2 linked regions of the Kluyveromyces lactis genome follow. The protein of the gene in region 1 purifies or fractionates together with the protein of each later gene. This does not show direct contact. Links are inferred from orthologs where the notes say so. Each region holds a gene or a part of one and is shown on either strand. Other genes may lie near its edges.

What was found.
Region 2: the proteins of CDC4 (region 1) and CLN3 purify together in Saccharomyces cerevisiae (affinity purification with western blotting; 3 studies listed by BioGRID, with this or other methods). This does not show direct contact. The link is inferred for Kluyveromyces lactis from reciprocal best matches to the Saccharomyces cerevisiae genes CDC4 and CLN3.

The regions. Positions count from the first base shown.
Region 1 is NC_006040.1:647,364-651,316, reverse strand, and holds CDC4 (SCF ubiquitin ligase complex subunit CDC4), read left to right. Parts: upstream 1-1,389; coding exon 1,390-3,333; downstream 3,334-3,953. Other genes in the region: KLLA0_D07568g (FAD-dependent oxidoreductase), read right to left, coding at 1-691; KLLA0_D07524g (uncharacterized protein), read left to right, coding at 3,892-3,953. UniProt on the Saccharomyces cerevisiae protein: Substrate recognition component of a SCF (SKP1-CUL1-F-box protein) E3 ubiquitin-protein ligase complex which mediates the ubiquitination and subsequent proteasomal degradation of target proteins. Recognizes and binds to phosphorylated target proteins.
Region 2 is NC_006039.1:1,108,635-1,112,070, forward strand, and holds CLN3 (cyclin CLN3), read right to left. Parts: upstream 1,960-3,436; coding exon 709-1,959; downstream 1-708. UniProt on the Saccharomyces cerevisiae protein: Essential for the control of the cell cycle at the G1/S (start) transition. CLN3 may be an upstream activator of the G1 cyclins which directly catalyze start.

The sequences.
Region 1 (3,953 bases):
TGTCATGCTTGTCACCAACATCAAGTAATAAAGTTTGACCTCTGACAAGGAAACATTTAGGATCTAAACCTCCTTCCCATTGTAACCCACAACCTGAAGCATTGACCACAATATTAACATCAGGGTAAAGCTCGCAAATATCTTTTAATTTCTCAAGCTTGATTCTCTTTACTCTAATGTTAACGTTCTGTTGCTCACTCTTTTTCATTACCTGGTCGTAAAGGAACAGTAAATACAATGGAGCATTCAAACACCACGTTTCATAGCTACAACCGAAAGTGACACCTGCAGGCAAGTTGGAATCTTGCTGTTGGAATTTTTCCAAGCTGGATCCATTATACCCTGCTCCTAAGCGTTGGTATTCGATGCTCGGATTTTCTAACCAATCGATCCCGTTCATGAATTCAACAGTGGCCTCACTCAACCACTGCTTAGATTTACGTTTGAAATAGTTATAAGTCACTCTGGTATATTCACTCTCACGTTTATCCGAAGCATAATCAGAATCTCTGTGTGGGAATGGTCTAAAATGAGCACCTGCCCATGGTGATGTGAACGTATGATTGATTGGCTGATCTTGCGGGAATTGTTCGGATACAATTGTTATAGTCCTGATATCGGGTCTTGTTTCCAGTAGTCTCAGCGCACTTGACAAACCAATAACACCGGCACCAACTATACAAACTGACATGCTCCAATATTCTGCTTTCTCAATTAACTAAACCTCGGCCGTGGCTGCCTATTTCCTGTTGTTCAAATTTATGAAACTTCTATTCATATCATATGTAAATCTAGTCAGATGTTTCATTCGATCGTCTTTTATGCAAATTGGAAATCACATTCAAACAAGAAAAGACGACTCAAACCCCCACATCTTAACCCGTAATAAGCAGCCAACTACATAGTGTTTGCGCCGGGAATTAACCAAAAAAATCGGTAGATTAACTAGGAACAGCTTCAAGGCATTTTTGTCCTGTCAGTATCGTATATCACCATTACAACCGAGATCGCTGCTCTGGTAATAATTACATTCTAACACGTGACCTGTGTTGCATGCAAGGTAAATACCTATGTAGGTCTAAAAGATAGAATGGTTTAGCTTAATATATTAGCCTCAAAGCGTTTAATAGCTAACTAATAGATGGCGAGAGTATCTCGCATAGATATAGGGACTGATAACATTGATTCAACAAATCTATGTTTATTTGCACTGTTATCGGCACTCTCAACCAAAATCAAAATTAAACTCTTGTACGATTTCTTTGTACAAAACGAAGTCACATCAACATATTGACTGACAGACGGAATATTGTTTAGCAGAAAGATAAGGAGTAACGGCAGGTGTGGGGTAGTCGTAAGTAACTTCCATTAGTTAAGGGTATAAGTAACATGGATCTCAATAGGCATGCGACCCCAGGGGTACCACAGTATCCTCTACAGAATGTTCCCGTTCCATACCGGTACCAACTTCATCCTCAGCCAGCGTCTCAGAGTAAACGAAGTATACATTATCCCCTTCAACAGCTTGACGACGATTCTGACAGCGACGGTCAGTATCACAAAAAGTTAAAGCCAAATCAGCAGGCTGTTTCCAGTCCCAACTTGATCGAGGATCAAGATGGGCCGTTACCAATATCGCCGATTGCTTCCCCATGTCACACACCTGAAGTGGAGGAACCAAGTATTGACGAAGTCATAGGGACTACAGTAGCTAGACTCAGCAGTACGACATCTCATCCAAATGCTTTAACAAGTCTTATATTTGGGCTTGTTTCCAACATGGATAGAACTCAGCTTTCAGATTTGGTCAGTATAATAACCGATAACTTGAAACGAGATTTGTTCCAATCACTACCTAATGAAATCACTGTGAAGATCCTATTAAATTTATCTTCGGAAGACATCTTCGCATGTTTGTTGGTTAACAGAAATTGGAATAGGTTAATCGAGGAGGCGCCTGTTGTTTGGAAATGGCTAATGCTTAACGAAGGTTTTGTCACCGAAGATCAGTTCCCGTCGTACTGTAACAGTTTGCCCAGTAAATATAAGCATTTGATCAACCCTGACGACAGATTTAGATTAGATTTCCTGGAGAACAACTGGTGTCTCCAGAACTGGTACGATCCAAACTATAAACCAGGGAGGACTTGTCTTGATGGTCATAGTACCAATGTTGTAACATGTCTACAATTTGAAAACAATTATATTATTACCGGAGCAGACGATAAGAAGATCAACGTGTATGACGCTGAGAATGATCTGTTCCTATTAGAATTAAACGGACATGAGGGCGGTGTGTGGGCACTGAAATTTGTGGACGGTAAGATTTTAGTTAGTGGTTCCACAGATAGAAGTGTGAGAATCTGGAACATCGAAACTGGTAAATGTACCCATGTTTTCAAAGGACACACATCGACGGTTAGATGTTTAGAAGTGGTTGAATATGGTGACAGCAAATACATTGTAACGGGGTCTAGAGACAATACCTTGCATGTGTGGAAACTTCCCCCCATGAAAGAGCTAGACAAGGGATCGCAGGAACCTATTTTCTACAGGACACCAGAGGAAAACCCATATTTTGTTGGGGTATTAAGAGGCCACATGTCTTCGGTAAGGACAGTGTCTGGTCATGGTAGAATTGTCATAAGTGGTTCATATGACCACAATTTGATGGTATGGGATATCATTAGTATGAAATTACTATATATTCTAACCGGTCACACCGACCGTGTGTACTCGACCATTTATGACTACAAGAGGAACAGGTGCATATCAGCAAGTATGGATACCACAGTGATGATCTGGGATCTCGAAAACATTGAAAATAATGGGACAACTACTACAATCAATGACGGTGCATCGATCAAAGTGGTTGGAAGCATGAAATGCCTTTATGGACATACAGCTTTAGTTGGTCTACTTTGCCTATCCAATAAATTTTTGGTTAGCGCTGCTGCAGACGGTTCGATACGCGGCTGGGATCCAAATGATTATTCAAGAAAGTTTTCGTTCCATCATACAAACCTGGCTGCTATCACTTCATTCTCCATGAACGATAACATTTTGGTTAGTGGATCGGAACGACAATTCAATGTATATAATTTAAGGACCGGTAAGCTGATACACAGGAAGCTACTCACAGATTCGGAACAAGTGTGGGGTATCAAATTAAATAACAGAAAATTAGTCGCTGCGATCGAGTCAGTGGGACACAGTTACGTAGAAATCTTGGATTTTGCTGCTCGGAATGGTGACAAGACTATCAGAACCCGGACTAGAACAAGAGTCGACCATCAAATATATCGAACGTCACTTTGGTCTTCCACTCTTTAACATTAACTATCAATTTAACTTGCATTACCACATCTGGTATCTCGCCGTATGGAAATATTCTACCATCAAATAAACTCTGTAATACCAATCCTCTGTATCTTTGTTCTCTTCTCTTCTCTTCAATGCCAGCAGACATAAAAAAGTTGTATGATTAATTTATCTACGGCATCACCTATCCCTAAGACATATATAGGAGTTTCAATACTATTTCTACGTGTTACAAACTTTTCAGCCACCCCAGTACTGGTGGATACAGTCGACTACTATACCAGACATATACAGTTCTCAACATTTACCTATCTATGTCTTCTTATCAAGATAGGGTCATCCCTAGGTGTGGAAAATTATGCCAAGGAATTAATCGGGTGTGTTTTGCGATGAGGAAAAAAGTAAGTTGCACATTGAAAAAAATGTCAAATTTACACAATATAAGTACCTCTTTCGATTTTGTCCACCTATTCTTGCAACATTCCAGTGCCTACTCAAGCATAGCGTCTTGGATTGGACTGAATCTTTACCCACTTAAGCACTCCCAAAATACCCCTCCAACACACTGAAATGTCATTGCAGCAAGAAGGATCATCATCGGCGTCATCATCCTCATCGAGAATTAGCCAGAG
Region 2 (3,436 bases), on another chromosome or scaffold:
GATTCTTTTGGGATTACTACAGTAAGTGAATACCCTTTTTGGCAAAAACCATATCGGGAAATACCACTGGATTTCATTTAAACTGCACACCTGATATTAGGACTTGAGACAAAGCGGAGGGGTAAATGAGAATAGAAAAGTACTATCGTCCAGAATGTTGTGAGAGACTTTTCTATCTGTTTCATCATATTTTCTTGTTATTTACAAGGATGTTGTTGCCAGTGGAGAGAAATTGACTTTCATGATTTATATTTATCGGCAGATAAGCGCAAGCGAGAAAAAAGAAGTCTCGTGAAATATCATTGATAGCCTATTCATTAACACAACAACGATAGTAGTGTAGTGGTAGTACTACTACTCATACTACACAGTATTTCTTGCTATTTGATAGGGATGGCTAACGACTCAAAAAACCTCTTGGATTTGTATCTTAATATTGCTCTTTTCAATTGACACACCAGGTGAGAAAATTTGTTGCTTTTATGTCGTCTTGCCATGACACATGATACCAGGTCGAAGTGATCTATGCGATTAACTTTCTGTGATCAGAAGTTGAGCTCTTAGGTCAATGGAAGCAAATTTGAGTTCGTTAGATAGTAAGGTTAAAAATAGATCAAATATCAATTTTGTATGCTAAAAAAGTGTTTAACACTATTCTTCTCTATGTAAGTGATATGAATGGGTTTATCGAGATTAACAGTCTTCGTGTTAACATTCTCCAACTTTCCCTCTTTTGACATGCTGGATGGGCTCTTGTTCGAAGAAATCGATATCCATGGTTGATGAATCTCTCTTGAAATGTCTTCTGAACGATCCGCTCGGGTGATGTGACGATGATGTTGGTAATGACGGCCTGGAGGATTTGGCCAATGTCGGTGTGGAGGGAGTAGTCGTAGGAGTAGGGGGGATTTGCATCCATCTCATTGAATCCATTTGGAGTGATTTTGGGGACAGACGATCTTTATGATTGTAATCCGGTACCAATGGGGACATCAATGTAGAATATTCAATTCTTGACAAGTGATCTTTCCAATATGTCTTATAGGAGAATAGACACTTCAAAATTGGATGCTGAACATCGTTGACATAATACCTAAGCTTGAAACTAGATGGAATATCAGCAACGTTGATTACTTCCAATATGGACTTCATTAGATTGATTAGTTTCGGGTCTGGTTTGTCATTGGACATCATTGTTTCGAAGTTAACAAAGGTATTAAACTTGGAGGACAATAGTGCATATTTCGTGATAGATAAGCACGCCAGAGCAATGGAGCTAGAAGAGTTAGTGAATGAGAGGGTTGGGTTGAAGCAACAAAGCTGGCATAGTATCAACGCTCCAAGTTTCATGGCAGAACAATCTGTTTCGTTGTTTTGGAACGTATTTCCCCTTACCAAGATATCCAAGAAAGAATCCAAACTGGGTCCGTGACACATTGTCCAGTTGAGACTCTGACAAATGTGAAGTTCCATTTCCTTGAATTGCTCTTTGGTATATTGGTTGCAACATAAGCTTTGTAAAGTAGGTAATGAAGGAATTTTTTGCTTTTTGTCCGTGTATTTAGATGCCAACCATAGAGAACATAAACCTAAAAGTTGGTAAGTAGAAGACTTGACGATGATTTTAGAACAATATCTATCGATAATATTAAAACATAGGAAAAGAGTTGGTGTTGAAAGTTTCAATCTGATGTGACAGCACATGATGAAATCAAAAATCAAGGATCTCATTTGAAAATTGATTTCAGGTTGGGACTTAAAACATTTCATAGAAACTGTTGTGCTGGATTCATTTTCAACCAATCTAGAGAAGATTGTGGATGCATTTTCATTAATCGTAGCTTTGTGAGATTTCAATTCCATCTCAATCAAATTTGGATTAGAAGCTTTCTCATTCCAAATCGACCTTCTTATGCAATTCATATAGTTTGAATCTACCATGGTCAGATTTGACATCATGTATAAATAAAAATAGATTGTATTTGTTTAAGTGAACTTTATTTTGAACAAAGAGAATATCAAAGGAGTATTGTAGAAGGGCAGATAATTCTATTTCACAACTAAAGCCACAATGTATTGAGAATTGAGGGAAGATAAGAGAAAACGAATAAAAAATTGGGACAGACCAGCTGAATGACTCAAACGTAACAAAACGTTTAGCCGTTAAAGTGTAATGTAGTGCGACGTTCTACTTTTTGTTATTCTACCCTGAGACGATTGTAGATCGACTATGAGGATTCAATTAACAAGCAAAAGAGTGATTCTTTTCTATAATCTTTGCGGGGTAGTTGTTATGAAAGTCTTCCTCTGTTTAGCGATAGAAAAAGTGAAAGCAAGAAACAACTTGATATGAGCAGACCGGATGTTAGGATTGAGTATCAGGTTTTATAACGGAGATCAGATTCTTAACAATGATACAGTCAAAGAAATAACCTCTGCAGCGGCCAGGATATGCGAATATGATATGATGGTGGATGAAAGAAAGCAAGTGTGTTGTATGGATGAAAGAAAAATTTGAAGCGAATGAAAAGTTAATAACTGTTTATTCTTCAAAAGTTTTATCGAGGATCTTCTGTACCAGCAAAAGTAGTGAGTGGGATGGGAATGCAGTAGTGAAAAAGCTTATTAAATTATAATCACTGAACTAGAGTAATTAGACAGAAATAAGTGTAGTGAAAGAAAAAGTACCTCTTGATAACAGTCTTCTCTATTTCGAATGGTATTGAAGAAAGAACGTGAAATGGGATGTAGTTTGAAGCGGTGCAATTGGCAATGAGGACTTCCTATAACAATCTTAAGAAACCTATTACTCAAACACTTAAGACAAAGCCCCAAAAAACTGAAGGAAAAAAAAAGTGTAAAGAACAGCAGTAATACCAAAATAAAAAAAAGGAGAGGATGGGAGTAGCAATTACCTGAAGCTATGATTAGGCTCCCACTAAAGTATTGTTCTTGGACACTGTAGTATATCAACAGTATCTAATATGAGAAACAGTAGTGAAGTTTCTAACAACAAAGTAGAGTGAAGTGGAAGGCCAACTTTCTTTGATCCAATATATAAATGAATATATTTTAACAAAATGTATCAACCAAATCGAAAGAGGAATAGAGAGAGGAAAAAAATGTATGTGTGGGCTATTATTGGCTGGCTGGCTGCTGACCGTCTATCTTCTCTATCTGTCCGTAAGTCTCCCTATTACTGCGCACTGTATGGGAGTGAGTAAAAACGGCAGTGGAAGATGAAGAAGAAGAACAAGAAGAAGAAAATATGTAACAGGGCAGCACCATGACATACAAGCACATAGGCCCGATAATAAAAAAGTATATACCAATGCAAGAAGCAGTCGTAGTATTAAAATACCACCACTAAAAAGAAAATGCACACCAGTTCCCAAGAGAGTGATCGAGAAAAAAAAAAAAGGAACTGAGCCTTCAC